Linked DNA regions of Caenorhabditis elegans. The protein of the gene in region 2 interacts with the protein of the main gene of each other region in a biochemical or structural test. Each region holds a gene or a part of one and is shown on either strand. Other genes may lie near its edges.

Region 1 (17,522 bases), on a different chromosome or scaffold from region 2:
AAATTGTGGAAAACCCAGAGTTGGAAAAAATAATTTGCGAAATAAAATTTTACCGTATTTCTTCTATTAATATGGCTGCAATACTATTTTTCGAAGGTCTTCCCGCTTGCTATACTAATAGGGAGTGCAAGACTATTAGGGAGTGCAATACTAATTTTCAGAACATTTTTCTGTGTTGGGGCTTACTAGTATTTACTTGAAAAACTCCAACTTTAATTTGGAAATATAGAAAATTTGATTGAAATTGCAACAAAAAGGTACAATAAATTCAATCTCATAAAAATGTTCTCATAAATTGTTGCAAAATATTCAAAAAATGTTATTAAAATCTTAAAATTAGTAAGGAGGGTTTGCACCAAAAAAAAGTAGGTGCAAGAGTCATTGGGAGGCCATACTAATAGAAGATATACGGTATTTAAATTTTTTCGGAACAATTGAGACAAATTTTCAACAAATTCCAACAAAAATTAAAAACGTTTTTTTTTATTAAAAAAAAAAGAGAAAACTCGGCCACCAGTTTTTTTTGTTAAAATCTGTTTTTTTTACCAGTTTTTTCTTGAATTCCTTATCTATTTTTGGAACTTGATTTAGTTAAAAAAAAGTTTAAAAAAAGAAATAAAAAGAAAATTAAAATTACAGCACCCTTCCCTGGGAAAAGGTCTTGTGCGTCGTGGCCGTCTAAAATCGGTGGCCAAGTTTTTTCCTGACCATTTTGCACTTTTTTGGCTGAGGCGCCCCCCTAACGCCTCAAATTTAAAAATCCAAATTTCGAATTAATTTTTGCCTTTTCGACAGTGGTCGAGTTTTTTTTTTCACGGCTACCAAGTAAGTTCCCGGCCGCTCAAGTTTTCTGAACATTTTTCCACCTTTAAAGCAATTTTTGAGGCAAAGTTCAGTCTCCCCGATTTCTAAATTTCGAATTTTTGTTCCTAATTTCAAAACTCATTTCAGGCTCCAAACGGAACACCGGCTCCAGTACATCCGAACCAACAGCCGTCTGATGAAAATACATTATTACATCCATATTCGGACCAAAGTTATTATTCCACAAATAGCAATTAAAAGAGACGAACTTGTTCCACGTGTTCACTTAATTTCCTCCCAAATTTTTTTTTGTATTTTTTTTAGTTTTCGTTAACTTTTTTCTCACTTTCTCAAATTTCAGATCTCTATTAATAGACCCATCCGGTGGATACACTTTAGTTTTTATTTATTTTCCTAAAATTTGAAAGAAAAAAATTTGATGAATTTTGACATGTTCAGAAATTCCAATAAAAACGTGACCAATTAATTATTTTTGTTTAAATTTTTCTTTTTTCTTTTTTATTTTTCTTTATTTTTCGGTAAAAGTCTGATGGCAAGTGAGTTTTTGAAGCGGCGCTTTTGCTATGTGACCTAGAAAAAATGGGAGAAACTCGGTCACTCAATAAAATAAAAACGAATCTAAATCGCTGGCCGAGTTTTTCAATTTCCTAGGCAACGTAGGCGACGCCACTTTGTGTGATGGTGTTGTGAGACCCTTGCTAGGTGGCCGAACATGATAAAAACTCGGCCACGCTCGGCACGTTTGGGTTAATTTTTTAAAGCTGTTTTCACGAATTTGCGCATAATTCTTGATTTTCCAGTTTTTTTAAACTGTAAATTATGAATTTTCAGGTTCTTCGATAATTATCTTAATACTCTTCTCAGGTTTTACTGTCATCTCCTGCCAAAATGGTGACAACTGGGCAACTTGTGAAGTAAAAAATTCAGCGGTAGAAAAATCAATAAAATTAAAAATTTCCAGAAGTTTCCAAACGACTTTAAATGTTATGATTGGTGTATGCGATTGAATCGATATGCGGAGATTTATCTTGGGTTAGTGAATTCTGCGCGTCAAGTATGGTGCATCAGACCGTCTGTGGGTTTACGCGGCTTGTGTACTCCTCGAGGAGAACTCCAAATTGACTATTTTTATTTGAATTTCAAACGACCCAATGCTCCAAATCTTACGCGCAATTTGAAACTACACAAAATCTGTACAATTTGCAGAAACCGAGAACGCAGTGCCCGTCAATGGCAAGAAGTTGCAAAAATCGGGATAAGTTGCATGATACCAGCTGCTGTTGTATTATTCATTTGGATGAAAATCCGAAACTCCATTCGATTCCATCGCGAGAGTGTGAAGAGACGCAGACACGAGAGAAAGCTCAAGTTTTTGCAAACTAATCGAATTCGAGAGACAATTCTTGACCAGCCGACGAATGAGGAAATCGGGCAAGATTTGGCAAAACAATTCCCAATTCGAGAAGGAGTTATTTATAAGATGAAGATGCGGAAGGAATTGGAGAAAAAATATTTAGCTTTTAGAAGACTCAGATTGGTGGGGGCATTTCTAACTTTCGAAGCGATTTTGAAATTTTCGCCCCAAAACTACTGTACCCGGTCTCGACGCGACACATTTGTTGTTAATGCAAAAATTGTGTTCCTTTAAAGAGTGCTGTAGTTTCAAACAGGTTTTTCATAAAACGTTTTTCGATTAAAAAAACATAAAAAATTCTAAGAGAAAACTATGAAAAGTCTATGAATTTCCCGCAGAAAAAAACAATTTGAAACTACAGTACTTTTTAAAGGCGCACATCTGTATTCAACAAAAACATCGTGCCGAGACCTTTTGACGCAAAAATTGCCAAAGACTTAGTAATATTTACAGTTTACATCATATTTTACGCACAAGTTTAAAAAATTATTCAAAAAATTCAGACTCAAGAAATGAGCAATGGAGCATTGTTGCAAAAGAGTATGAATGACAAACTCGATTTACCGGAACAATTTACTGCACTTGAGGTATAGAAAATAGGAGCTTTCGAGCAAGAAAATTTGAATTTCAGCTGGTTTGTGACGCAGAGCAATCGATTGTGGAGGAAGCAAATTTTCACAAGGATCCGGAATTTGTCATTGGAAGTATTGCAATGGAATATGATATTGTTAAAATGGATTCGAAGGTAATCTCATTTCCTGTGACTTCACGCATGTTTTGTCCTAAAAAAGAAAGGTTGTACCTCCCACGTGGTGTCTCATTTCGGCTTGATGTATGTAGATCTACAAAAATTGCGGGAGAAGAGACACAGAGTTCTCAACTGGCTTTGAATGATTAAGAACTTGCTGACGTCACATTTTTTTTTGGGTAAAAAATTCCCGCATTTTTTATAGATCAAACCGTAATGGGACAGCCTGACACTACATTCAAAAATAGGAATTTTGGCTAGTACGGTAGATCTGCCAGATTATTGAAAAAAAAACATTTTATCGACTTTCCATTTACTATCCACTCAAAATCTTTTCTCGTACAAAAATATTACAAATCCGAAGAAAATTTTAGGAAAACATGATTCCACACTACAGTAGTCGTTAAAGTAGTCTAACACGAAGAAATTTTTCGTTCGCGTCGAGACCACGTACCGTAACTTTTTGAACTTTGCGAAATAGTTTTTTTTGCAACGACTAATAACGACTATAGGGAAAAAATCACTGTAGGAAGTTCAAAAAATTTGCCTTATTTCAGAGAAAATGACACGTCGAAGGAGAAGGATTTTTTTACTCTAATTATTTTTCTTACTTGTTGAAAAGAAATAAATAAATTTAATTTGTACCACGCGTGACCTTTTTAATTCAAATTCCGACAAAAAAAACCCACATGGGCCAAGGATGGTCAGTCTTAACTTTAGTGTTGATTGTGAGATTCGAAATTGCTCGTGACAAGATGAGACTTCTTCTTCTTCTTCTCCTTGCAACGATTTCAATGTCTGCCGCTGTAAATGAGGTAAGCTTTTAATTTCTAGACGTCTCTTTCTATATATATTTTGTTTTCAGTTTGAACTAACACTCAAACAACAGAGCACTTTATGACGGCACACTTCACAACTTGCTAAACTTTTTGTTCGTGGACACTGCAACGTACGCAGGCGTCGGTGAAAAACTTGAGTCAGCTTATCTCGAAATCGTTTGTTGATAAATAGTCAGGATTTTGTTTCAGATTCAATTTTGGAAAGTGCCGTGAGAACCGTGCGAAGAAGCTCATCTCGGGACATGGATATTTCATCGCTGAACATGGAAAAGGAGTGTGGGAGAACTTGTACTATCTTCCACGTAGCAACGGCGAGTATCTGTTCCTTCCACGTGCTTAGATGTGTGGGATTGATGGACGCGATATTTGATTTTTTGAAATTATTAAGTTCTGTTCTACAGAATTTTCAATAAAAAGTTTTCTTTGGCTCTTGCGTTACTTATGTTACTAATTAGTGTTATTTATATTATCAACAAGAATTAAAATTAAAATTTTAAGAAACATTGAAGCTTTGCATTAAAAATTTAAAACGTTTATTTTAATTCAATTTTTAAAATTTGGCTCACTGCGATTCTGCGTGAAATGTGATGTTTCTACAGTAACCCGTACAACCAAGGCATCGAACTTCACGACATTTACGAATTCAAATTTGAATTGCAAACTTTTTAATTTTATCGATTTTCTTTCTTTTTGAGCTTTATCAATAGCTCTAAGCGATTATTCAACAGAATTTCACTTTTTTACGCCTAAATGATTGAAAATTTGATAAAATATCAATAATTTACGGTTATCCTCTTCGTAATCTTCGCTTTCTTCCCAGAGTAGTGAAAATATCGACTTTTTGATAGAAACTGGATTTTTTAACTTCCCTGTTCGAAAAACTATTTTTCCTTAAATGAGATCTGAAATAAGGTGATAAATTAATAAATTAAGTGTATTTCTGAGGAAATTTGACTGTTTTAGCACAATTAATCTTGTTTCAGAAAAAAAGTCCAGTTTTCTAGATTTTTCCGTCTTATTGTCGAATTAATATCCCTATTATCACTTTTTCATGCTCATCCTCGAGCGGCAGCGTCTCAAAGAATTGTGAGAGCAAACGCGCTCCATTGACCTCCACACTCAGCCGCCAAAAACAAACGTTCGAACATTCGTGTGTTGTGCCTCCTTTTCCGTTATCTTGCAGTCATCTTTTGTCGTTTTTTTCTTTGTTCTTTTTGTTGAACGTGTTGCTAAGCAATTATTACATCAATTGAAGAAAAGGCTCGCCGATTTATTGTTGCCAGAAAGATTCTGAGATTCTCGAAGTCGATTTTATAATATTTAACCTTGGTTTTTGCATTGTTTCGTTTAAAAAAACCACTGTTTATGTGAAAAACGATTAGTTTACTAATAAAACTACTTTTAAACCTTTACCTTTACCTCACCGCTCCGTGTTCATGGCTCATAGATTTTCGATACTCAAATCCAAAAATAAATTTACGAGGGCAATTAATGTGAAACAAAAACAATCCTAAGATTTCCACATGTTTGACCTCTCCGGCACCTTCTTCCTTAGCCCCACCACTCCATCACCTCTTTGGCGGTGTTCTTCGAAACCCACTTAGGAAAGCAGTGTGTATCTCATTTGGTATGCTCTTTTCGATTTTATAGCTCTTTGTCGCAATTTCAATGCTTTAAACAATCCAAATCGCATTATATTTGTGCATGGAGGCAAATGACGGGGTTGGAATCTTAGATGAGATCAGGAGCTTTCAGGGTAAACGCCCGGTTCATTTTGTACCACATTTCATCATTTTCCTGTCGTCCTTGGTATCCTCAACTTGTCCCGGTTTTGTTTTCGGTACACTCTTCCGTGATGCCACCTGCTCCGTCTCAATTATCGTTTAGAAATGTGAACTGTCCAGATGGGTGACTCATATTGCTGCTGCTACAATCCACTTTCTTTTCTCATCGGCATGCTTACGAGCCCATCATAAACTTTTTTTTCCGCGAAATTTGCAATAAACCGGCCAAAAACTTTCTCCAAATTGTTACGCAATATATACAATCCATAAGAATATCTTCTCAATGTTTATGATTTCTTCGCAGCACTTTCTCTTCGTGTGCTAACATCTTATTTTTATAATATTTCCGCTAAAATTCCGATTTTTGAGTATTAATTTATCGTAAAATTATCATAATAGCACCGAAAACTACAAAAAATGGTAAAGTCTTTTAAATCGGCTCGACATTATCGTATTAAGGAATCACAAAATTCTGAGAATGCGTACTGCGCAACATATTTGACGCGCAAAATATCTCGTAGCGAAAACTACAGTAATTCTTTAAATGACTACTGTAGCGCTTGTGTCGATTTACGGGCTCAATTTTTGAAAATAATTTTTTTTTTCGAATTTTGACAACCCGTAAATCGTCACAAGCGCTACGGTAGTCATTTAAAGGATTACTGTAGTTCTAGCTACGAGATATTTTGCGCGCCAAATATGATGCGTAATACGCATTCTCTGAATTTTGTGTTTCCGTAATAATTTCACAAGATTTTGGCATTCCTCTTTAAAGGCGCACGGATTTATTCCAATGGGTCTCGGCACGCAAAAAGTTTGATAGACTTTTAAATTCTCCTTGCATTTTTAATTCAATTACTAAAATTTTCGTGAATTTTTCTGTTAAAATTTTTAAAATCAGTTTTCTAATATTTTCCAGGCTGACAAACAGAAACAAAAACACAACAAACATTTTAAAAATCAGTTTTCAAATTAAAAATAACGATTTCTCATTGAAAATTGTGTTTTATGTTTGCGAAAATAAAAGAGAACTGATTCAAAACAATTTTAACAAAAAAAAACCCCAAAATTCGCCAGAAATCAAGATAAAAAATTCAAGAGGGTCAAAATTTTCCGATTTTACTGACTTTCACCTTTTTTTTCGTAGTTCAGTGCAGTTGTTGGAGTTTTTGACGAAAACTAGGAAAAAAATCGATAAAAATTACTCAAATCGAGCTGAATTTTGAGGACAATGTTTAAAAAAAAACACTATTTTTCCAATAATTTCACTCATTTTCAGACTAAATCGAAAATCAAATCGTACTCTGACTACGGGTCAGTAGAGAGGTCAACCATCAGCCGAAGATGATGCGTCAAGATAGAAGGAGCTTGCTAGAGAGGAACATTATGATGTTCTCTAGTCATCTAAAAGTCGATGAAATTCTCGAAGTTCTCATCGCAAAACAAGTGTTGAATAGTGATAATGGAGATATGATTAATGTGAGTTTTTAATCGAATAATAATTTTAAAAAAAAATTGATAATATAAAGAATATTTTTGCAGTCATGTGGAACGGTTCGCGAGAAGAGACGGGAGATCGTGAAAGCAGTGCAACGACGGGGAGATGTGGCGTTCGACGCGTTTTATGATGCTCTTCGCTCTACGGGACACGAAGGACTTGCTGAAGTTCTTGAACCTCTCGCCAGATCGTAGGTTTTTAAAGTTCGGCGCAAAAGCAAGGGTCTCACGGAAAAAGAGGCGGATCGTAATTTTGCAACCCACCGGCACGGTTTTTTCCTCCGAAAATCGGAAATTATGCACTTTCCCAAATATTTGAAGTGAAATATATTTTATTTACTGAAAGCTCGAGTGATTATTTATTTTTTAACACTAATTTTCGTGGCGCAAAAGGCCATTTTGTAGATTTGCCGAAAATACTTGTCACACACACACACACACATCTCCTTCAAATATCCCTTTTTTCCAGTGTTGACTCGAATGCTGTCGAATTCGAGTGTCCAATGTCACCGGCAAGCCATCGTCGGAGCCGCGCATTGAGCCCCGCCGGCTACACTTCACCGACCCGAGTTCACCGTGACAGCGTCTCTTCAGTGTCATCATTCACTTCTTATCAGGATATCTACTCAAGAGCAAGATCTCGTTCTCGATCGCGTGCACTTCATTCATCGGATCGACACAATTATTCATCTCCTCCAGTCAACGCATTTCCCAGCCAACCTTGTATGTTGATGCGAACACTAAATTCTGAGAATGCGCATTACTCAACATATTTGACGCGCAAAATATCTCGTAGCGAAAAATACAGTAACCCTTTAAATGACTATTGTAGTGTCGATTTACGGGCTCGATTTTCGAAACGAATATATGCTCGAATTGTGACAACGAATTTTAATTTGTCATTTTTGTGTTTTCTTTTGATATTTTTGATCAATTAATAAATTATTTCCGTAAACAGACACCAGCGCTACAGTACTCTTTTAAAGAGTTACAGTAGTTTTCGCTTCAAGATATTTTGAAAAGAATTTTAAACATTTTGAAAAAAAATCATCTAACATGTGCCAAAACGCTTTTTTCAAGTTTCGCAGATTTTTTGATTTTTTTCATTCAAGATATGCTTATTAACACATATAATTATCATTAATGTGAATATCTTGTAGAAATTTTGGTTTTCGTTCTAGTATGCTCTACTTTTGAAATTGCTCAACGAAAAAATCATGTGGTTGTTCATATGATGACGAAAAATGCATTTTTTATATATTTTCCCCTATTCATGTGTGCAGAAAAATGTAAAAAAGCGCATGCATTTTTCGACATTTTTTACATCGAACGACAGCTCACTTCACATGCTGAAGACGAGAGACGCGGAGAAATACCACACATCTTTCTGCGTCTCTCGTCTTCAGCATGTGAAATGGGATGTCGGTCGATGTAAAAAAATGTCGAATAATGTAAAAAATGCATGCGTTTTTTTACACTTTTCTGCACAAATGAATAGGGGGAAAATGTATTAAAATACATTTTTTGTATTTTTCAACATCACATGATTAACCCCATTATTTTTTCGTTGAGCAACTTAAAAAGTAGAGAATATTAGAGCGAAAACCAAAATTTCTTCAAGATATTACCTTTATTGATAATTATAGATGTTAATAAGCATATCTTGAATGAAAGTCAGCAAAAATATGTGCGAAACACCTGAAAAAAATCAAAAATTCTGCGAAAATTGAAAAAATGCATTAAAATACATTTTTGCATTTTTCTACATCACATGAATGTAGAAAATTAAAAGGGAAATCAAAATTTCTAGAGGATATAATTGAATGAAACATTGCGAAATTAAAATGTGCGAAACGTCAAAAAAGAGGAAATTTGGGTATCAAAATCGATCCTAAAACCAACACATTTCAGCATCCGCCAACTCTTCATTCACCGGATGCTCTTCTCTCGGATACAGTTCAAGTCGTAATCGCTCATTCAGCAAAGCTTCTGGACCAACTCAATACATATTCCATGAAGAGGATATGAACTTTGTCGATGCACCAACCATAAGCCGTGTTTTCGACGAGAAAACCATGTACAGAAACTTCTCGAGTCCTCGTGGAATGTGCCTCATCATAAATAATGAACACTTTGAGCAGATGCCAACACGGAATGGTACCAAGGCCGACAAGGACAATCTTACCAATTTGTTCAGATGCATGGGCTATACGGTTATTTGCAAGGACAATCTGACGGGAAGGGTACGGCGAAATTATATTACCCAAACGCGAAATTTTTGCCATTTTTGCGCCGAAAATGTGGCGCCCGGTCTCGACACGACAATTTGTGTTAAATGCAAAAATGTATAATTTTGCAAAAAACAAAATTTTGAACTTCCGCGAAAATGATTTACCTAGTTTCGAAATTTTCGTTTTTTCCGGCTACATTATGTGTTTTTTCTTAGTTTTTCTATAATATTTGATGTAAAAAACCGTTTGTAAATTTTCAGACAATTTTCCGCATACAAAACTTGATAGCACGAAATCAATTTTCTGAATTTTCAAAATTATCCAAAAATGCACAATTTAAAATTTGTGAAAATTGGCAAACGGTGTTTCAATATGAAATGTATTTTTAAAAACTTTAAAAACCACTCCGGAAAAGCAATAAAAATCAAAACAACGTCACAATTCAAATTCAAAAGTTATTCATCCGATTTGTTTATTTTTGCAAAATTTGAAAAAATCATGAAGGATTTAGAAAAGTTTTATAACATTTTTTCTAGATTTTTCAAAATTTTTTTTAACAAATCGAGAAAAAGAGAATGAAAAATCGATTTTAAAAATATCCACAGCAACGAGAGTTTGAAATTACAGTACTCCTTAAAGGCGCACACCCCATTTGCATTGACCAAAAATTTGTCGTGTCGAGACCAGGTACCGTAGTTTTTGTCGCAAAAATTGCACCATTGGACAATAAACCTTCCTAATCACCAAAAAGTAAAATTGAAATCTTCGAAAAGCCAAAAAATTCAAAAAAAAAGTCGAATTTCGATTTTTTTTTTGGTTTTTTGGTCCCAAAAACCAAAAAATCAATTTTTCGTCAAAATACCAAAAGAAACCCAAAAAATTTCCCAGCCTTGTTCCTAATGTAAACTGATATTTAATTTCCAGGGAATGCTCCTGACAATTCGAGACTTTGCCAAACACGAATCACACGGAGATTCTGCGATACTCGTGATTCTATCACACGGAGAAGAGAATGTGATTATTGGAGTTGATGATATACCGATTAGTACACACGAGATATATGATCTTCTCAACGCGGCAAATGCTCCCCGTCTGGCGAATAAGCCGAAAATCGTTTTTGTGCAGGCTTGTCGAGGCGGTTCGTTTTTTATTTTAATTTTAATATAAATATTTTAAATAAATTCATTTTCAGAACGTCGTGACAATGGATTCCCAGTCTTGGATTCTGTCGACGGAGTTCCTGCATTTCTTCGTCGTGGATGGGACAATCGAGACGGGCCATTGTTCAATTTTCTTGGATGTGTGCGGCCGCAAGTTCAGGTTGCAATTTAATTTCTTGAATGAGAATATTCCTTCAAAAAATCTAAAATAGATTTTTATTCCAGAAAGTCCGACGAAAAAATTGCGATATAATTACGAAATTTGTGATAAAATGACAAACCAATCAGCATCGTCGATCTCCGCCCACTTCATCGGATTGGTTTGAAAGTGGGCGGAGTGAATTGCTGATTGGTCGCAGTTTTCAGTTTAGAGGGAATTTAAAAATCGCCTTTTCGAAAATTAAAAATTGATTTTTTCAATTTTTTCGAAAAATATTCCGATTATTTTATATTCTTTGGAGCGAAAGCCCCGTCCTGTAAACATTTTTAAATGATAATTAATAAATTTTTGCAGCAAGTGTGGAGAAAGAAGCCGAGCCAAGCTGACATTCTGATTGCATACGCAACGACAGCTCAATATGTTTCGTGGAGAAACAGTGCTCGTGGATCATGGTTCATTCAAGCCGTCTGTGAAGTGTTCTCGACACACGCAAAGGATATGGATGTTGTTGAGCTGCTGACTGAAGTCAATAAGAAGGTCGCTTGTGGATTTCAGACATCACAGGGATCGAATATTTTGAAACAGATGCCAGAGGTACTTGAACAACAATCGATCTGCTAACTTTTTAAGGCACAGAAAAATAGGCAGAGCGTCCTTTTGCAAGCCTGCCGCGCGTCAACCTAGAATTTTAGTTTTTAGCTAAAATGATTGATTTTGAATATTTTATGCTAATTTTTTTGCGTTAAATTTTGAAATAGTCACTATTTATCGGGTTTCCAGTAAAAAATGTTTATTAGCCATTGGATTTTACTGAAAACGAAAATTTGTAGTTTTTCAACGAAATTTATCGATTTTTAAATGTAAAAAAAAATAGCGAAAATACATCAACATCAAGCATTTAAGCCAAAAATTGTTAACTCATTTAAAAAATTAATTCAAAGTTGTCCACGAGTATTACACGGTTGGCGCGCGGCAAGTTTGCAAAACGACGCTCCGCCTCTTTTTCTGTGCGGCTTGAAAACAAGGGTATCGGTTTTAGATTTTTCCCCAAAATTTAAATTAAATTTCAGATGACATCCCGCCTGCTCAAAAAGTTCTACTTTTGGCCGGAAGCACGAAACTCTGCCGTCTAAAATTCACTCGTGATTCATTGCCCAATTGATAATTGTCTGTATCTTCTCCCCCAGTTCTCTTTCGCCCAATTAGTTTAAAACCATGTGTATATTGTTATCCTATACTCATTTCACTTTATCATTCTATCATTTCTCTTCCCATTTTCACACATTTCCATTTCTCTACGATAATCTAAAATTATGACGTTTGTGTCTCGAACGCATAATAATTTTAATAACTCGTTTTGAATTTGATTAGTTGTTGTGCCCAGTATATATGTATGTACTATGCTTCTATCAACAAAATAGTTTCATAGATCATCACCCCAACCCCACCAACCTACCGTACCATATTCATTTTTGCCGGGAATCAATTTCGATTAATTTTAACCTATTTTTTCGCCACAAAAAATCTAATATTTGAATTAACGAATAGCATTCCCATCTCTCCCCGTGCCGGAATGCCTCCCGGCCTTTTAAAGTTCGGAACATTTGGCCAATTATGTATAAAATTTTGTAGGTCCCCCCCATCATTTCCCGCCCATCATCTCAAATTGCATTCTTTTTTCGCCGTGATATCCCGATTCTGGTCAGCAAAGATCTTTCTCATAGCCCATTCCATTCGAGCTTTCTAATAGGAATTTGAAAATTTTCGAAATTCCAGTAAATAATATTGGAAAATGGATTTTTCGAGTTTTCAGCAACACAAATTTACTTGAAACCCCATTTTCCAAAATTTCAATTTTTTCAAATTTCCCGCTATCTTCCAAAATACTCTTGTACGTTTATTATATTTCCCTCGTTTTTCTTCGATTCCTCCTCTCCGCGCACCCAATAAGTTTTATATATGTTGAGATTTATATAGCTTGTTATTATAATTATATATTTATAGATTATTATAGTTGCTTTTCTCGCCGTATGTTTGTGTGTGTGTGATTGGTATACATAGATAAAAGAAAACAAGGTGTTAACAAAACAAAGGTGAAAAATAATCAACAATTAAAGAAGGAAACAAGCTAATATAAAATTTCGCACATATATGATATGCAAGCTTCTGACAATTCCCTAGTGAGTACTACAGATTAAGAATATGTGCACAAAAATTAAAGGCTGAATTTAAGCTTCTCAAACCTCCCAGATTACAAATATTACGGGAACATATAATTCTGAGCATGCGTACTGTGCAACATACTTGACGCGCAAAATATCTCGTAGCGAAAACTACAGTAATTCTATAAATGACTACAGTAGCTCTTGTATCGATTTACGGGCTCGAATTTCAAAATGAATTAAAATAATTTATTTGTCGATGGAATATTAAAATTAAGCAAAACATGAGAAAATAATACGAAATAACCAAGGGAAAAATGAGAAGTTGCTGTCACTATTCAAAAAGTCCCTCATTTCGAAAATGGGGACCGTAAATCGACACAAGCGGTACAGTAGTCACTTAAAATAATTACTGTAGTTTTCGCTACGAGATAGCTTGCGCGTCAAAAATGTTGCCGAGTACGCATTCTCAGAATTGTTTGTTCCCGTAATATAATTTTCTAAATGTACGTCCTTATATTATATTCTCAAAGTGCAAGAAGTCATTAGAAGTTATAATATATGAAATTTTTATCAGATTTCATATTTCAGTTTTTGAAACAATATTATGTAAACTCAAAATTTATCTGACCTCAAACATTCATGACTGTTCCCACTTTCTCATTCCCACGAGGTGCAATGATAGAGCTACATTAGAGACAGGTGTTCATAGGACCATACTATTTGCTCGCAATCCTCGATTGTTCACCCTTTCTTGTTTTTTCATTCTCTTTCGTTCTGTAAGATAGCACTTCTCTATTTTCTGGTTATTCCAAACAATGACCAAGCCTCTTCATGACATTGCCTGCCAAAAAATTGCCGAATTCGTTCAAAATGGTTAGTTTTTTGGAGATTTATCTCAATCTTACACTAAAGTATTTTTACAGGTTCATACGATAACAGAGAATTTGAACTTGATTCCAAATCGAGTAACATTGTTTATTCATATTTAATGAATCGAGATAAACCATTCAATTTAAAAACCATCCATAAACTGAACGTAACAAAAGTTACACTACACCCCCAGACACTGGATGAGAACACTGCAAGGCAACTGAAACAATTCTCGTTGAAAGAATTGAAAATTGGAAATTTTTCTAAATCTAAAAGTTGGTGCATATTTAGAAGAAGTAAGTTATTACGAGCAATAGATACATTTTTTCATTTTGTTTAGAATCAGATGTTTCACGGGTTTCTGGCTGGGCCCCTCGGTGTATTTTGTGCAAACACCGTCACGCGCAAACATATGTTCCATACACGATAAAGGCCATTCAGTTATCGATTGTTCCATTCAATTTACAGAATTTTCAAAAAAAAATTAGAAATTTCGAATGGAAAATCTTAATAAAACCTTTAAAAAACGTTGAAGTAGTGGAAAAGTTCTAAAAGAATTAATGATATTTGGTAAAAGGCTTTATACATCGAACATTTTTTATACAAAGAAAAATCAATTTCTGTAATAATCCCTCAATTTTTTAGAAGAAACCCGTCATGTTGATATTGTCCGCATTTTGGAAGCTGTTCTGAACGAGGAAACCCGTAAAAATCTTCAGTACTTACACATCGAAAAAGATCAAAAACTAATGAAAAGATGGACTGCAAAGGTATTAAGTTATCTTAACATATAATGTTTTAACTAGGTGAAACTGTTTTTCACACACTTCCCGTCACACAAAGGGTTCGCGACAACGCGAAATTTATGTGTTTAAACGAAGTGACGTTATTGGTCTACGGCAATCTACGGCTATTGGCCCATATTTTCAAATGAGTTTTAGAATTTATTGCGCTCCAAATGTTAGCATCAAGAGTGCCAATTTTTTTTAATTTTTGGAAAATCGAAAAACAAATAACAATGTTTGGAAAAAAAAACCGATTCTTTGACAAATATTTTCAAATTTAGACAATTTTCTTCCTCTCCAGAAGAAAAGTGTATGTTTTCTTATGTTTTTTTTAAATAATCATCAACATAAACGACACTTTATAGAATGTAAATAATTTTTGGTAACTTTCTAAACGATTTTTTCAATTTTTTAAAATATTCTCTGAAAAAAACCGCACCATTATTTTTCAGATTGGAAACATGTTACCATCACTAACACATTTAACTATGAGCGATGTTCATATCAATGAAGATGATTTCTATCAACTTTTCGGTAATTTTTCAAATCTTCGGTCATTGGATATCAGTGGAACCAATATCTTAAACATTGCCGGTATTTCGAGATTAAAACAACTGGAAGTGCTCGCTCTGAGAGATTTTTCAATTGCCACATATACGGAGCTTAAAGATTTATTTAACTTAAAACACCTGAGGGTCTTGGATGTATCACAAACAAGGTAAGTAAACTTTTTAAAAACTGTAGCTATATAGTCAACGATTCGAATTCAATCTTGCTAAATGTTTCTTTTAACTTTTCTCTTGCATTATCTTTCTAATTGTTATTTTCATTCAGATTTAATCTCCATTCTAGAAATAATATTGTCGAGCAGTTCACAGAATGTAAAATGGAATTACCAGAGTTAAGATTCATGGATTGTACCAGAACCTCGTTGAGCGGTGACATTTTAGAGTGTTTACTAAAAACGCAACGTAATCTTCAGTTAGTTACAACAATAAGTACGATGTGCAGTTTTGCAGTTTCAATACCAAATATCATTTCAGTGACTGAAGCGGAAACATCACAATATAATGATGTTCGGGTTTTGAATACTGCATACTTTCATAAATCTGTTCAAGCTCTAGTTTACTGTTTAACTGCAAGAAAAGAATTTGACAGTGGATACTGTATGAAAGCAATCAGAATTTCAATCTCTGAAGATAACTTGCAAAATCTCAATATTCCTTCATGTATAAAAACAATTGTAAAATCAATGCAAACGTTTGATTCAATATCTGTTACGCAAAATGGGCTCAAGTGTTTGATAATATTCGGAATGTAAGTCGAAATTTTTTCTTCGAAAACTTGATAATTCTTCGCGCCTTTCTAACCAAATTTATTTTTTCATTTACTTGAGCAATAAAGACACGTTTTATAAATTATAGTAACCACTTCTTAAAAGTATATGAATATGGTTAACATCAGTTAAGACTTTTTACTATTTTTCAATTAAAAAAAAACGCTTCTAAACAGGTCAAAGATAATTAAATTATCATGTTTCACGCTAAATGTGGAACTCAAAACTATGAAAGCTATACACTTTCAAGAAAAAGCAAACCAACATTTTAATTACGAAAATAAACACAAATTGAATATAATCAACTTTCAGGCTCTATTCCAACCAACTGTGTTCAAACGGAGTGACGTTATTGGTTGAAGCTTTAATGAGCTTCGTTTATTTGTACAAAAGGATGATTTCAGAAGCATACGTAAAAGTCAATATTTCCTACTGGAATGCCGTCGAGAAACTTGTAAATTTGAAATTGGGAAAACTCGATTTTGATAAAATAAGCAAAACCGCTATGAGTTTTCTATTAGAGAATCGAGTAAGCAAGGCTCTTCGTACCAGAGCATCAAGTGTTTTGTGCCAGTGCATACATAGAATGCATTCTGATGAATTAAAATCTCTATCTGAAAAAACTGAGAATGTGAATCGATTAGTCGATATACTGGAATGGAGTGTAGGACAGAAAAATGAAACGAAGCTTTCGGAATTTTTTGAAATCACTATCAAAATGACTGAAAAAAGTTCAAAGGCTTGTACCAACATGATACAAGCTGGAATAATAAGTATTTCATTGAGTTGCATGGAAAAGGTTGAGTCTAATGATATTACTACGAAATGCTTGGAGTTGTTAACAAATCTGTCATCCGCTCTGAATTATGACTCTTTGCAAGAACTCTACACATCATCAAATGTCGATAAGATTGGGCAAGTATTTAATAAAATTTTCTTCGTTAATTAAAAGTCAAGTCTACTTTTGAGGATTTGATACCTAAACAGGGAACTTCTAGTGCTTAACTCTTTTATTGAGCCTTCAGTAGATAGAACCGCTGGTAGAACAAAAAAAAATCATTATAGTTTAATCGAAAAAGTTCCAATTAATATTTCAAGTTCAAAAATACTTTCGGTATGTACATGTTGTTGGAATCCGATTTTAAAATATCAAAAAGTCAACAACTTTCTTATTTTTTCTGTGCGTGCTAAAACGTAGCTTACTTTTTCTGTAACAACCTTAACTTTTTTTTTCTTATTTCAGGCTAATGCTTACTCGACAGAAAAATGACATAACGTTCCAAACTACTTCATTGCTCACAAAACTATTGCACCACGCTGAAGGGAACCAGGTTCAATATAAACTCATCAATCAGTTACTGGCTGAAAGTAATCGCTTAGCAATTGGAATTGACAAGATTCATATTTGAAAAATTCTTTGAAAAGTGCCAAACAAATTTGTTCTATTAAAAGTTCCCATTAAAAAACCCCAATCAAATTTCCCTAATACATTACAAATGACCCTATTGCATCATTCCTCAACTGTTCAGAAGTTAGGGCTCTTTACGGTTTTTGAAAACTTGTTTCTTTTATGTAAACTTGCATGTTTGAATCTTTCTCTGTTCCTGATTAAAAATCAACTCAGTTTCATAAATCTTAAACCACAATTATGCGATTCTTTTAAAGAAGGATTCTCAAAGTGCAAGAAGTCATTAGTAGTTATAATATA
Region 2 (14,375 bases):
CACACATAACGTTCCAACTTTCCACTCTCAGTTTCTTGTTTGCCGGATTTTCGCTTTTCAGGGAACTTCCAGGCCAGTGAATGAGCAAAAGATCCAAATATTCGACTTTAAGATTGCTCAGTGACTCCTCAATGCTTTCCCGAGCTTTCTTAACGCCAGCATTAGATGGGGCTAACTTTGACGTGATCCAGATGTCTTCTCTGAAAAAAAGATAGCTTCAATTGGTGGCTCTGTGGTTTTATTGAATTTTTAAAAATTATTTCTCAATTTTGTAGATTAAAAGTGGCTGAACTATATTTGAATTACATAATATTGAATGAATAACCTAGTTTAAATTTTTTTAAATGTTTGCTTTGATTATTGGTTTAGAATATAATTTGTCGAATTTTTTTTCATTTTTCAATTTAAACATTTTTAGCGAAACAATTTGCTGAAAATTAGAGAAAATGGGTTTCAAATCAAAGAAACACCAAAACCAGTTTTTTCTCGCAGGATTAAAAAAAGATTTAGAAACAATTATAAATTTTTTAAAACCTACCTCTTCAACCCATTTGCTGGAAGCAATTTTTCCAAGATTCTACCAATTTTAGCTTCATTGTTATAGACTTGTGCCGTATCAATGAATCGATATCCTTCTTTGAAACCTGCATCAATCACTTGACGAAGAATTTCTTCTTTTTGAACCTTAAATTTATTTTTTAGTCAAAAAATTGATTTATTCGAAGTCAATACCTGCCACGTGCCAATTCCGATCAATGGCATGTTGTTCTTAACATATTCACGATGCTCCATTGATCCTGAAAAGCAAAACAATTACACTTGAAATAATTGTTTAAAAGTAAATAAATAACTGTTGGCTTCAAACCAAAAAAGACTGAAAAAAAAAACGATTTTTAAAAGGAAAAATGTATTGTGCAGCAAGTTTAAAATATGAAAATGGTAAGATGAAAATGAAATGATTAGATGTGTTACATGGAAAAATGAGAAAAATGACACAATCAAGAAGAGCATTCGGTCGGCGAATTTTGAGAAGTGGGGAGTAGATCTGAAAAATACATAGATTATTATGATTATCTGAAGTTTTCGGTTTTTTTTTTAATTTGGATTTTTAATTTTTTTTAAATTTATCGTTTTCGCATTTCTTTTGTGATATTTCAGAATTTCAGACTAACTTTCCAATTTTTCAGATGAAAAATGTAATTTTCTAATTTTTTTTCAATAATTTTCAGCCAACTCACTTCCATCGCGATCAAATGGGACTCCCGAAAACAACGTCCCGTCGATTTGTTTGATGCAAGACCATTCATTCTTAACGACATCATAGGAAAACAGTTGGGCGACATTGAGCAAGAATTGGCAGAAGATCTTACCTTTCGGTAGAAAATAATCCTGAAAATTAATTTTATGTAAACATTTAAATTCGAACAGAACAACTGAAATGTACCTTTTCAAGCATTTTTTGCAATTCTTCAAAAACTTTCAGCGGCTCAAAATTGTATTGCTTGAGAATTCGTTCAAATGCGGACCACATCTTACACTCTTTCGCCAGTTGCACCACACTCGGGACATCTTTCACTTTTGGAATCATACTGATAGCCTGCGAAAAAAATACACATTATATATCAAACTTTTGTGTTGTTTCAATAGTTAAAATGACCCTAAAAACCGAATTTTACAACAAGACTTCAAAAAAAAAAAAATTAATTTTTGAAACAGTCTCGTTATCAAATTCAGTATTTCGTGGCCATTTTACATTTTAAAAGTTGTAATACCTTGTCATAAAAATCGCCGAGACAATATCTATCCTTCGTTTCTCCAATATCCATGAGTGAAAAATTTGAAAAACAAAACCAATTGATTTCTTCATGTTGTTCGTTCACAAAACGCTCGATTCGGGCGAGCCTCTTATTAATGGCAGCTTCACGATCATCGTCAAACACAAAACTTTGCTTTGTTAGAAGCTTGATATCGATGTTATACTGCACACGTGTCGCTCTAGCGATCGCCACATCAAATCTTGTGACCCTCGCGGCGTGTTCCTCTTTGGTCAAACGTTCAGCACTCCAGTGCTCAATGGCATCTTCTGGCTTAAGTTTCATAGTTGAACGGAAATCATAGTAGGAGTCAATAAATTTCGTCAATAGTACTGTGCATTTTTTGAGGAACACGGCAAAGTCATCACAAATGTCGTCGGTTCGAGACACTTCCCCACTGATTTCAATTGCAAATTCTTGATTATCTTTGATTCCTCTCGAATTATGATCTGCTTCACTAGAAATGGAACAGACAGCTGTCTCATTTTCGAGCACTTCGGGAATGTTGTCGATGATGGGAACTTGTTGAACCATTGAAGAATGACTTTCAGAAGTAGAAGGACCATCTATGTACACCAAGCTATTGCGTGAAGACCTCCTGTTTCTAGCTTTCATTGGTGGTATTGCTACGAGCTTCGCCTTTCTTTCAACCTTTTCTGAAATTATTTTTAGATAAAAAAGTGCGGAAGATTATATATCAGTGGAAACATATTTTTTAAAGCTACATGGAAGGCACATGTGCTGTGAAAAGTTCCTATCATCAAAATAAAAGTGTCTCCCTACAATGAGCCTTTAAAGAAATTAATCAAAAATATGTAAAGCATCTGACACCCACTATAGCTATTACAGAGACAAATAAATGTTATTATTATCACAATACCTTTTTTCTGATTATGTTCCTCCAACGTTTTAATGAAAACTTCCCGGCCATCGTTCTGAAAAAGAAATATTCAGTAATCAAGTTTACTCCAGTTGCTTACCAAAAGTTTTTCCGCATTTTTGTGTTGCAAGAGCTTCTTTTCCACAATCTCCACCATGGGTCCCAGGTTCGATGCAATCACTGAAGCTACTTGCATCTGTAAATGATCCCCGTGGTGCTCTCGTTCATGACACATATTCTCGACGGATTTTCTCTTTCTCCGCACACTTGGTTCATCGTTATTTCTGTCAGAGCTCGAGCTAACTTCATTATCCGATGTGGGTCTACTATCGGAACTATGTGAATCGTCATTCACATGCATATCGTTTTCTCTGTATTTCCTTTCTTCGATTTTCGAATACTTTTGGATGTTTTCCGCAAGCTTTTCCAAGTGTATGTCACATACCAGTTCCGGCATAGGCTCTTTGTAGATTTTGAAGCTGCCAGACAGTCGAAGAGTATCTCTAATGGAACCTTCGGGCTTCTTGCAGTGGAGAGAAGGGCCGGCGTGCTCAGAACTTCTCGATGGACGAGATCCTCTGACCTGAAAAACATCAAAGCTTTAGAATTCAATGAGAAAATTTTTTACACGATGAGAATATTTGTTTGGAAAAAACTATAGATACCAAATAGTTTTAAAAATGTTAACTGGCTCTCTTGAATGCTAAAAAATCAGAAAAATTAACAAAAAGAAGCAAAGTCGTGTAGGAAAATGGGTAGACCGAGTTAAATTTCAAAGGGGGTGTTAATAAAACAACAATATTAACTTTTGTTTAAAAGAAACTGCGGGTTTCCACACCTAGAACATAGAGATTTCGTCATAGATTTTGAAAACACATGTTTCGCGCGCTTTCACTTGCATTGATTCTACCTTCCTGCAGAGTAATTGAAATAAATGTTCTTATCTCTTTTCGAAAGCGTGTGCATTCATTCAGAATGAACATAATAATAGAAAAATTGATGGCTAACTGTACTTAATGAACCTTGCCGAAGAAACTGAGAAAATTCAATAAAAGAAGGAAAAATGGAGGCCCAAAAAACTCGAATCTTCCAAACTGAAATTCTACAGTAAGCGCTATCGCGTTTTCGCTGCGAGACTCTTCCGCATGAATGCACCTCCCTTGAAGGATGCAAAAGTACTGTAGCTTTTAGTAAACATTTATTATTATTTACCCGATAATCTCCGTTATTTTGGTGCATGATTTCTCGCCTGAAATAGTAAATAAGAATGAAAGAAGAAGACCAACATTCCGATATTTTCAGACCGAAACTGTTTAAAATGGTATATCTAACAACAAAACGAAAAATAATAATTTTATTGAAGTCAATCTTAGAAGAATTCGGGTGATTTTTCTGACTTGTCCGGAGATGTTGGTGGCGAGCTTGTATCAGTATTGAATTCCATTCTCATGATTTGGGTACTCTGAAAGCATTTCCAGTATTAAAAATGTAAATAAATAATATTTGAACCTCTTGTCGAATTACTAGTCGTTCGTTTGCCATTTTAATCGCTCTATGAAATTCATCTTTGTAATGAGCATCCCGTGCATTCTTGAACTCCGTGTCACTTCCCGATTCACATGGTGTAATGGACAGACGACAAGGCGTCGGCGGATCTGGCTGAAATCATGAATCTTAAGACTAAAACTTCGTTGAATCATGCAAATACCACAAAGAGATGTCCATGGGTGAGGGCTCTTGGTTGATAAGTGACTAGGAGATTGCGTTCGTTGAAAATTGCTCGTCGAGCACGTGTCACCCATTGACCGAAAACAGTGAACCACTGAAAATAGTACGTAATCGATAAGTTAAAATACTGAAACAGTACAATATACAGGGATAATGATATGAAGACTGCTATCGGTCTAGATGGAACTCCATTGATGGCAAGAATCTCGATAAAGTGAAGCAGCAAAGCAAATGTAGTAATGACGCCAACAGAGGAAAGAAATCGAACATCTTCAAAACTGAAAGGAAATTGTAAAAATTACGGTTTTCGTGAAAACTCATCAAATGTCCTTTTGGAATGCACTTTGAATTTAGAACACAGAAAATAACTTACTTCATGTTCGAGACTAAAAGTACGACTTTCAATTTAATGAGGCGTGTTTAAAAATGATCAATTTGGAAGTTTCGAACAATAGGGAATAAATCATTTGGATGCGATAAAATAATAGTCCACGAAATTCTTTACGTGAATGTATTAATTCGATTAATTAAAATTATAAAAGAAACTGAATATATTTGAAAAAAAAAAGCAAGGATGAGATGAAACAAGATGTGTTGAGTATCTGTAGAAAACATTAAATTTAAGAACATTTGGGATAGATCTGAAATTTTGGAGAGAAATAAAACAAGTACAAATGAAAAAATGAGAAAACTCGTGCGAAAAAGTATAAACGTATTTCGAGGGGAATATACAGGCAATATTGTACACGATAGGTTTTAACAGCATGCAAAATTTTTGAGGGAGTCATAGAATTTCTGGTGCAATTGCATGAACTTTGGGAAGTCTTCAGGACGGATCACAGTTTCTTCTGTAGTTTTTGGATACATCTCACTGGCTGATGAACGACGGAATTTTTGGAAATGTGATGGTATATGTCGCTCCGGTACTGATACATTATTGTTTCCTATTTCAAGAAGACGCTGCTCGAGAATTGAGATTCCATTCTGAAAATTTAAAATTTAATTGAAAGTTGAGACATTTTCAGCATACGGCGATAGTTTGTGCATCAACGACGTGTTTCAAGAACATATGGATAATATGATCAATTTTGAATGTCAAAACGGGCATTCGTTTTCCACTGAGAAGAGCTCCACGTCTGAAATTTTAAGTGTTAATTTAAATCTTCAAATTTCAAGACTCATACTTGCTGAGTCTTTTCAACCGATCCGCAACTTCATCATCCAATTGTTCTTCTTCATTTGAACAAATATCAACTGGAATAACACATGACCATAGCTTGACGGGTATATCAACTCCAGGAGGCATCACAACTGCGAAAGCAAGAGCACTTCGATCCTCATCTGACAAAACTTCAACACATCTTTGAAGAGCCATTGCGAGTGACTTGTACGAGTAAGGGGTGATACATTCAACACCGACTAATCCTCGACTTTCCAATTTGTTATTAAGCTGTGCCATTCTGAATGCAAAATGTTTGATAATTTTAAGAATATACCTAGCGATTTTGGACTAAAAATGTATTATTTCGTTTCGACATTCCGGAAAATGATTAAATAAAAAGAGTATGCGGATTTAAGAAGTACAGTAGTCTCCAGCCTTGCTGTTTTTCTATTTTACTTGATTTTTTTTAAATATTTTATTCAGTTTTTAATATTTTTAGACTTGTTTCAAAATAAAAGGCTTTAAATAAAAAGAAACAACAAGAGAAAATCGAAAAATAATGAAAACAGGCTCATACTCGCTTTCATTTAAAAAATTTCCGTCGGGTCGAGACCGTGTATCTCTTGTTCAATTATGTAAAACGATAATTTTCTTAAAAAATTAAATCGATGGCAAATATCAAGAAAATCTCTCGGGTACGGTAGCTACACAGTTTTCTCTCGTGCCAGGATCCTAATTCTTGATTTTGATCCTCAATTCGTAAAATTTAAAGACAATCAGCTATGAAACTTTTTGATTAACTTTTATTGTAGAATAAATTATTTTAAAAGTCTCAAATTGGTATGTCCCACTCACTTTTCAAATGTTTTCGGTTCACAAGACTTGAAAAACATCATAAGCGTTGCTGGATTTCCACTGCTTAGTTCGATTGTTTTATTAAGCACATCTTCTTCTTTTTCTCCAACAGGCATCGGCATTCCATAAGCTTCTAGAAAATCATAACATTCATCGATTTCCAATGATGTCACTTCAATGAATTCGCATGTTTGAGAAGCAGCATTTGATATTTCCACGTCACGAGTAGTTACAAGACATCGAAGACGTAGCTCCTGAGCCCAACGAATTGTTTCTTCTTGAACTACGTCATCAAATACGAATAAAGTATTTGGACGATCAATGAGTGCGTTGCAGATCTAAAAACCAATAATTTAAGATATTGTACCAGAATCGGCAAGCAACTTACCATCCTTTTGAGTACAACTGACGTGACATGCTCCACCGATGGGAAATTGAGAAGATCGTCTTCGCTTCTTGAAAGAACACGGTTAATGAAGTCGGTGATCGAATGCGAGTCATCCGTGTCGCTCACAACACGGGCTCGTCTTCAAACACACAAAACATGCAAGCGTCACGAAATATCAAATTAAAAGCTAACCAGGTCAAATTTTCATAATTTCAAAATCATGCTGAATGTTACATGCACTCTATTCACTCACTTTAGCATCAGCAAAATATCCGTAAATAAATCGAATGTAGATTTTGGAGCTGTTCCACTATCTTTGAGCCAAACGATTGAATCATAATTTCTGTAATAGAATGAAGATCCGTAGGATTCAGATAATACCACTCACATTCCAATAAGTTGGTCAGATTTCGAAAGAGCTTGTGATGCAATTACTGATTTTCCGGATCCAGCTCGGCCGTGTAGAAACAGAAAAAAGGAGTCTGAAGTTTAAGCAAGATTATAATAAACACGAGAGCTTCCAGTTTTCTCACCTAAATCACACATCTCGTCGAGCTTTTTGATCACTCGATCCACGTGATACTCTCGAATATAGCATGTCATTTGTTTTGGAACATTCCCAAGCAATAGTTTCCTATCGAGCATTTGTCGGGAAAATTGTGGAGCAATCACTACTGGACGAAGTAGATCTGGCTCATTTATCGCAAAATCGATGTAGTCTTCGAGGAAATCAGCAAGGTGACTTTGATTGTTGTAGTTGAAAAAGTCGATGAGTGGTCCAAGTTCAGAAGCTTGACGTCGATAGATTCGAAGAAAATTGGCGATCCTCTCGAGGCGAGTTGACATTTTACTGATAAGTTCAGAATGATCTTCTGTGAAAATGTTTTTGCCTTCTAAATAAGTCAATGCGTCACGTGGTTCAAAGTCGTGGATGAGCCTCGTGTGTGCCGTGCTCAAAGCGCGGCATTCGATTTCGCAGAGCATCTGAAAAATCTTCTTGATTATAAGGAAGCAAGATTTTGTGAATTTTAAAATGCTAGGTGATGTTTTCGAAACAACGGTTAGCTGGAGAATATACAATAGCATTGATAAAAAATTATTTGTTAAACATTATATACACTTTAAAAAAACAGGCATGTAATATAGAGGATAAATCTCCAAGCCCGAAATGTGCATAAATTGTGAGGCATAAAAATACCTTGAAAATGAGTAAAGAACATTGTATAATCAGATAGAAGCAAGAAAGATTTTAAAAAAATACAGTAAAGCTTACAGATAAAATGAAATTAAACATGAAGGAGTACTAATTTATAAAAATCGTTGAATATAAATAGACCGGAAGATATGCTGATCTCGAATGCAACGAGTAAAAAGTAGACAAAAATAAATTCGAATTTTCAGATAAAAATGCAGTTTATTTGGTAGAAACATTGTACAGGAATGTGAGAGGCCTAATAAACAAAAATATATCGGCAAATCGGCATATAGTTCTTATTTAAAAAGCGAATGAGTAAAACAGTGAAATATCACAATCCTTTATCCTTTCCTCTTTGCTTAGTGATTGTCACACGTCCTTCTTCTAAATCTTCCACTGTCGCTGATATTTGCCGAGAATCCCAACCCTGTAATACAATATTCAAATACAAAAACAGTACATTTTGTAGCTTCATACAACAATCAGAAAAATTATAATTTAAATTAAAAAGAAAGCCAAGCCCTCTTTATTGCGTTTTATTGATTTTTAATCGTTTTTCGTTAATCTTCGAAAATTAATTTGGAAAAAAAAACAATTTTTTTAATTGTAGAAACATCAGATAACTTACATTAGCCCCTTTCAAGTTAATCATTTTATCGGTGACAATTTCGAGTTTTGCGAGCATTTCTCCAAATATTCTGTTATACGCATAGACATCTTCGCCGTGTTTGAATGACTTGTTATCGATCACAAGTTTCGGTTTCTGAATCGATACCGAACAGACAATGATTCGACGCGAATTCGGCCGATTCATAATAATATCCAACTCTTGTCGAATTCTCGGATTTTCGAAAGACAAATTCAGCTTGAATTCAGGTATTCGAGTATTCTGATTTGAATTGAAGTAAGTGACTGGCTCAACAAGCTGTCCTCCTCCACGTCCTCGCAGAGTTTTCTTGTTGGACTCGAACACAGGCGGAGCTGACTGTTGTTTATGAATATCGATGACTCCGTATTCATGCAAAACTGTTTTGTCCATTTCATCACTCCTTTTCGTGAATTCGTCTAGCAATTCCGTTAACCGCAATGTGCATTCTGCTTGATCTGCGGCACTTCTTGTATTGAAATCATTTTTTGCTAAAGAATTTGTATTTTGAGCTTTTCAAAGTTTTCAACAATTCAAAAGATACCTTTTAGTTCGGCTCTCGCGCGATGGCACTCAATTCGATCCTTCTGGACTTTTCTATCTTTATCGAAGTTCCGGCGAGCAGTATGTAAAAGTGGATGATTGTCTGAAACATTTAAATTTAATAATTAAAATAAAATCAATAAAAGATAATCTTGACAGCTGGTTTACCGTGTTCCAACATTGCCAGCTCTTCAATTAATTTATTGATCGGCATGTGACGAGCATGTCGGATGAAATCTGAAAGAAAACCATTATCATGTGAATGTTAATCAATAATATATACCATCGTCAAACTCCACATCGTTTGTGTTAGATGTACTCGCAATTCCAACGTCCTGGAATAATATATTCAATTAAAAATGTTTTAAAATACTAGTCTCTCACCATCCAGGATTGTTATAGGTTAATTGAGTGACAGCTGTAAATGTTTATCGGAACTTTAATGTTTTATAAAAAGTAATTGTTAGAAAAAGTGAAGAGTTATAAAATATTATTTAAATGAAGCAAACAAAGAGCAAGCTGCTCCGCTTTGCAATTCGAATTGCCGGGAATATCAATCGTCGTCAAATCAGGTGCATTGGTACCATAAGCCGTCGAGTGTTTGCACAGAAACACATTTTTGTTTATTTTTTGAATTTAAAAGTGTAAACTTTATGATTTTGAAATGGTTTTTTTATGTTTTATTTTCCTTTTTCCTGTATTTTAGACCCATCGGTAGAAAATGAAAGCAACAATAAAGCTCTGGTGTCTAATAACCGGCTTTGTATATATTGCGCCCAGATTCCTTCTTTATTCATAATTAAAACATTGTTTCGCGAAAAAAAAATGTGTCGAAACTTCGACACATTTTCATAACTTTCATTTTGAAAAAGGGGACGGGCTTTAACACGTCCTTTTCCACAATTCATATGTCTTCACGAAGTGTGCGTGGATTGTGACTTCTACCCAGTTTTCTTTCCATCTCTGCGTCTTGCTCTCCCCAATTTCACGTGATAGACGACGCAAGCCTGAAAAATCATTATTAAAAATCTATCACTCGTTTTATGAAAAAAAGTTTTCAGTGATCAGCCAACAATGTCACCACGAAAGCATGAACAGTGTTTTAATTTCGATGCTGAGATATCGGATATTCAAAAATGCCTTGTCGAAGGTCATCGCACAATTATTTTAATTCGCGGAGTTACGGGATCCGGAAAATCAACATTAGCTCGAGAGTTGGTAAACCATTCCGAAAACGGCGTTATTGTGAAAAACGATGTTTCCAATAATATAACAAGATCAGGTATTTAATTTAAACATTGTTTGTGTACATAATAAAAATTAATTTCAGTGCGAAAATTTATCGATGAAGATAAACATCTTATCGTTGTAGACGAGGAGAACGTACAACGATCAAGTGTTAAAAAATTCGCAGAGTTAGCGGTTAATGGCCACTACGAAATTTTCGTGTTGGAGCCGGACACGGATTGGAGACACGATGCAATTGAATGCAAAAAGTTTGAGTTTTAATTCCTGAATTTTCTTCTAAATATTTCATTTTACAGAAGAAGCGAAAAAGATGAAGAGATCGGGTCTATCGAGTCGAAAATCATGCAATTAAAAGAAAATCAACTCGGCTGGGAACATTTAGTAATTGGTGGAGAAGCTTCAGTAAAGTAAGCCAAAAGCTCAGTTGGTGTCAGGCTTTCCCACATTTTCATCTAAAGTTTTTTTAAACCATAGAATAGTGATGTGGCACGCTTTTGACCATGTTGAACACTCTGGCACCACGTAATTTTAATATATTTGGCAAGCGTGTAATTTGAACATTAAAAATACAATTTTCAGAATTTCAAATTTCCACATCGATACGGAGATTACCAGTGTCCTGTGTAAATCACCAATCAGTTCAGTCAATAAAGGATCACTGACAGAATCGACAACTTCATCCACATCCTCACTATCTCAAATATTCTCAATGACTCCTGAAATCAAAGTTAAATCAATGAGAAGTGTCGGTACTCAAGTAGACGTTCAGTGTAGTAAGTTTAAAATCTTTTTTTAACTATCCAACTAAAAATAAAACAATTTTCAGTTACCTACGGACTGGCAGGCTTTGATTCGGTATTCAAACATTGTGGTGTTTTTTCTGGTGAAGAACATAATGTTTCAAGTATTTGGAAAGGACCAGTTCGTATGGTTGAAAGAAAAACTGAAACGGAGAGTTTTGAGATATCTCAATATGGGGAAACTGTTTTCAAACCTTCTCTTCAACTTTTAGTGTAAGTATTTTTCAAAAATTCAAACAAAATTCGAGAAGTCAATTTTCAGCGGTACATCTGACGAAATCGCATTTTCATTGCTTCGTCACGTGTTCAGTAAAATGGATATTATAGAGCTTCGTCATTATCTTCAAGTTCTTGGATTCGAGAAGACGTTCAATTTGATGTATAATCTCGGCGAAGAATTCATTGAAGGAGAAATTCCAGTTGACGAACGAATTCTTCTCGATGAGATTGAAGCTTTGGAGAGCTTCACTGTTTCAAATATGACTATTGAAGAAGAAATTGAAGCTAGAAGAGTTGAGAGACTTGCACTCAAGTTTGTGGAAGAAATGTGTAAGTTTTGCAGAATCGAATGAAAATAACTACGAATTTTCCTTGTTCCAGAATGTAGAAAAATTAAAAACCGCAGAGATTCAAGTTTATAGTCAGCACAAAATTATTAATTAACATAACTATCAACATAACTATTTGTGGAAACATTTTTAAAGTACGCAAAATTGTACGTATCTAAAAGTTATTTTTTTGGGTATAATCACCCCAACCTGTAATCAATCGATTTTAAATTAAAAAAAGAGTTATTTTAATAACATAGTTTTTTTTTGACATAACCCCTTAGAAACGTCACTTAATATTTCAAAATCCTTTCCCTAATATAAAATTATTTTCAGATAATCCCGATACCGAGAATGATGAACAAATCGCACTCCTCTTGCACTCTGAAATGAACGACGAAAATGGAGACAATGATTTGATCGAAGAGGATTATTTCAACATTGCAAATCTAGAGGAATCATTTCCGGGTACTAATAAAAAAGTAGTCCGTGAAGCGTATAATATCGCTGGTAGAAAAGTGGACTTTACTCGTGAAATTCTTTTGAGTAATGGCGAAGTAGAGAATACATATGCGGTGAAGTTGAAACCGAAACCGACATGGAGTAAAAAAGTTGCGTCTTCACCGAGTCCACTTCGTCTTTCGTTGCCGAAAAAATCGAAGAAAGAAGAGGAAAATCATTTCCTAAAGAAAAGAAGTGGAAGGTTAGCCAGTTTGTAAACATTTAAAAATGAAAATTCTAACATTTCGCATTTTCAGACATTCCCAATTGGAAGAAATCCAATTGCTTGCCATTAGAACTCGACAGAAAATCGAAGCAGATCGCATCACATCTTCTAATTCGATGGCTGCTGCGAAATATCGCCAATTGATAATTGTCGATCGAGCGTCACGAATGAAAATTGAAAAATCATCGGAAGTGAAAGAACTTGATCGGAAAATTCGAGAAGCCCACAACAATCCATGGTTTCTTGATTTACATTACATGTCAGTTGATGGAGCAGTTAAACTTGTGAAAGAAGCGATTGAAGCAGTCAAATATCATTTGAAAGCTGGTAATATTTTTTGAAATATTTTGTGCCAAAAATATTCATATTTTTTAGCTAGAAACCTTGATAGACGAATCACTGTGGTAACTGGATCTGGTAATAATTCGAAATGTGGAGCCAAGATTAAACCTCAAGTTTTGGCAATGCTGCAGCACAATGATTATAATTATGAACTCGTGAATGATGGATGTATAAGATTCAAAGTCTAGCATACCGTATTCTCTCAAATATCTCTGCTTTTCTTTGCGCTGTATTTTTTGAAATGCACTCAAGAAAGTTAAAAGTTGAATTTGTAATAAGTTACGGTGGTTTCTTATGCCTCTGCAGTAGGTATTGAGAGAATACGGTATCTATCACAATGCCCCTCAAGAAACCATCCAAATAATGTATTTTCTTTCCAATATTTCCTCACCATTTCCCCCATTCCATGACTTTACCCTTCACCGATCTCAATTTTTTTTCAAATTTCCGCGTTGAAATTTGCGTTTTAAATTTTTCTTTTATGTATTTCTCCCATTATATCCTACCTCTTTCAATATCCCACAGCCATTCAGGTTAATTTTATACTCGGTTTCTTTTTTCTTCTCACTGCTGTGATCATTTGCGATCTACTTGTTCCCACCAGATGCCTTTTTCGTGTACTTTTCCTGTTTTAATCAATTATGATAATAATAATATAAAACTTTCTTTTATTGAAATCACTTTATTAGAGTTATTAATGACGATTTCGAATTTTAATTATAGATCGAAATCAGAGCTGGATCCTGGAAATTCTTCTTGGCTTCTTCTTTTCTGGCAACACCTTCACACTCGATTGTGCCGTTTCTGATATCATCTTCAACAATTTCTTTGTCCATCACAGCTTCTTGGACATAAATCAGTGATGGAGTCATCCAATTTGAATAATTCATTTTATGGCATCTTTTTTGAAGTGAATGATAAGCACGGATATTCTTATGGAAACAAATAATTTGCCTATCACTCAAATCATATAGCTCATCATTTCCCGGACCAACACCTTCACCATATGAGCTAATGTTCTCAACACAAGACACCAATGATGTAGAATATGGTACAAACTCTTCGAAAAACATTGGCTCCGTTGCCTTGTGCTCCATTTGCCAATGCTCCAGGAAATATCGTGTCTCGAGTTTTGGAATGATTTTCCGCATCGAAAGCAGATGATAGAAGATGGCTGAATTCTCTGGTCCCGCGTATTCTGGCATTTCATTTCCGACAATACTGTAGAAGAGATGACGAGGAAGACCGATTTGGCCAGCGAGCATTTTGATGTAGAAATCTGAAAATCAAAGAATTAAAAATAAGTACAACCATTAAAAATATATACATTTTTCTCAGGAATTTCGAGTCTTTCTGTATTGTACTATAGTTCAGCTATTTCTCAAACTCGAACTCAAAGGCACGCGGGTTCATACGGTTGGGTCTCGTCGAGAAAAAGTTCATTTATCGTTTTTTAATTGAATTTTTCAGAAGATTTTCAGAAGTTAACAAAAAATTAT

Evidence for each region.
Region 1: of the proteins of ced-4 (region 2) and ced-3, one has a biochemical effect on the other in vitro, tested with the Caenorhabditis elegans proteins (4 studies listed by BioGRID, with this or other methods).

Annotation. Positions count from the first base shown.
Region 1 is NC_003282.8:13,193,499-13,211,020, reverse strand, and holds ced-3 (Cell death protein 3 subunit p17), read left to right. Parts: upstream 1-6,883; 5' UTR 6,884-6,954; coding exon 6,955-7,089; intron 7,090-7,152; coding exon 7,153-7,298; intron 7,299-7,576; coding exon 7,577-7,830; intron 7,831-9,018; coding exon 9,019-9,350; intron 9,351-10,262; coding exon 10,263-10,476; intron 10,477-10,530; coding exon 10,531-10,658; intron 10,659-10,731; exon of another isoform or gene 10,732-10,881; intron 10,882-11,012; coding exon 11,013-11,252; intron 11,253-11,728; coding exon 11,729-11,791; 3' UTR 11,792-12,760; downstream 12,761-17,522. Other genes in the region: cho-1 (High-affinity choline transporter 1), read left to right, coding at 952-1,062; C48D1.9 (VHS domain-containing protein), read left to right, coding at 1,355-1,361, 1,657-1,739, 1,787-1,857, 2,032-2,362, 2,743-2,826, 2,871-2,984, 3,545-3,553; C48D1.1 (Zer-1-like leucine-rich repeats region domain-containing protein), read left to right, coding at 13,639-13,696, 13,747-13,989, 14,339-14,463, 14,931-15,196, 15,313-15,476, 15,522-15,795, 16,127-16,729, 17,058-17,223.
Region 2 is NC_003281.10:4,845,761-4,860,135, reverse strand, and holds ced-4 (Cell death protein 4), read right to left. Parts: upstream 7,812-14,375; coding exon 7,361-7,811; intron 7,310-7,360; coding exon 7,216-7,309; intron 7,171-7,215; coding exon 7,083-7,170; coding exon of another isoform or gene 7,081-7,082; intron 6,963-7,080; coding exon 6,828-6,962; intron 6,778-6,827; coding exon 6,440-6,777; intron 5,883-6,439; coding exon 5,607-5,882; intron 5,559-5,606; coding exon 5,453-5,558; intron 5,407-5,452; coding exon 5,179-5,406; downstream 1-5,178. Other genes in the region: C35D10.6 (NADP-dependent oxidoreductase domain-containing protein), read right to left, coding at 1-200, 539-684, 733-792; C35D10.7 (ULP_PROTEASE domain-containing protein), read right to left, coding at 999-1,045, 1,239-1,389, 1,445-1,597, 1,773-2,470, 2,695-2,749, 2,795-3,277, 3,907-3,933; C35D10.8 (PH domain-containing protein), read right to left, coding at 4,064-4,156, 4,204-4,353, 4,403-4,516, 4,562-4,700, 4,796-4,800; F26A1.1 (Non-structural maintenance of chromosomes element 4), read right to left, coding at 8,354-8,449, 8,651-9,159, 9,213-9,314, 9,380-9,448, 9,495-9,546, 9,596-9,598; nonu-1 (Smr domain-containing protein), read left to right, coding at 10,286-10,493, 10,542-10,707, 10,756-10,866, 11,039-11,232, 11,286-11,472, 11,522-11,808, 12,144-12,510, 12,566-12,861 and 1 more; Putative forkhead-related transcription factor fkh-5, read right to left, coding at 13,590-14,155. UniProt on the Caenorhabditis elegans protein: Component of the egl-1, ced-9, ced-4 and ced-3 apoptotic signaling cascade required for the initiation of programmed cell death in cells fated to die during embryonic and postembryonic development.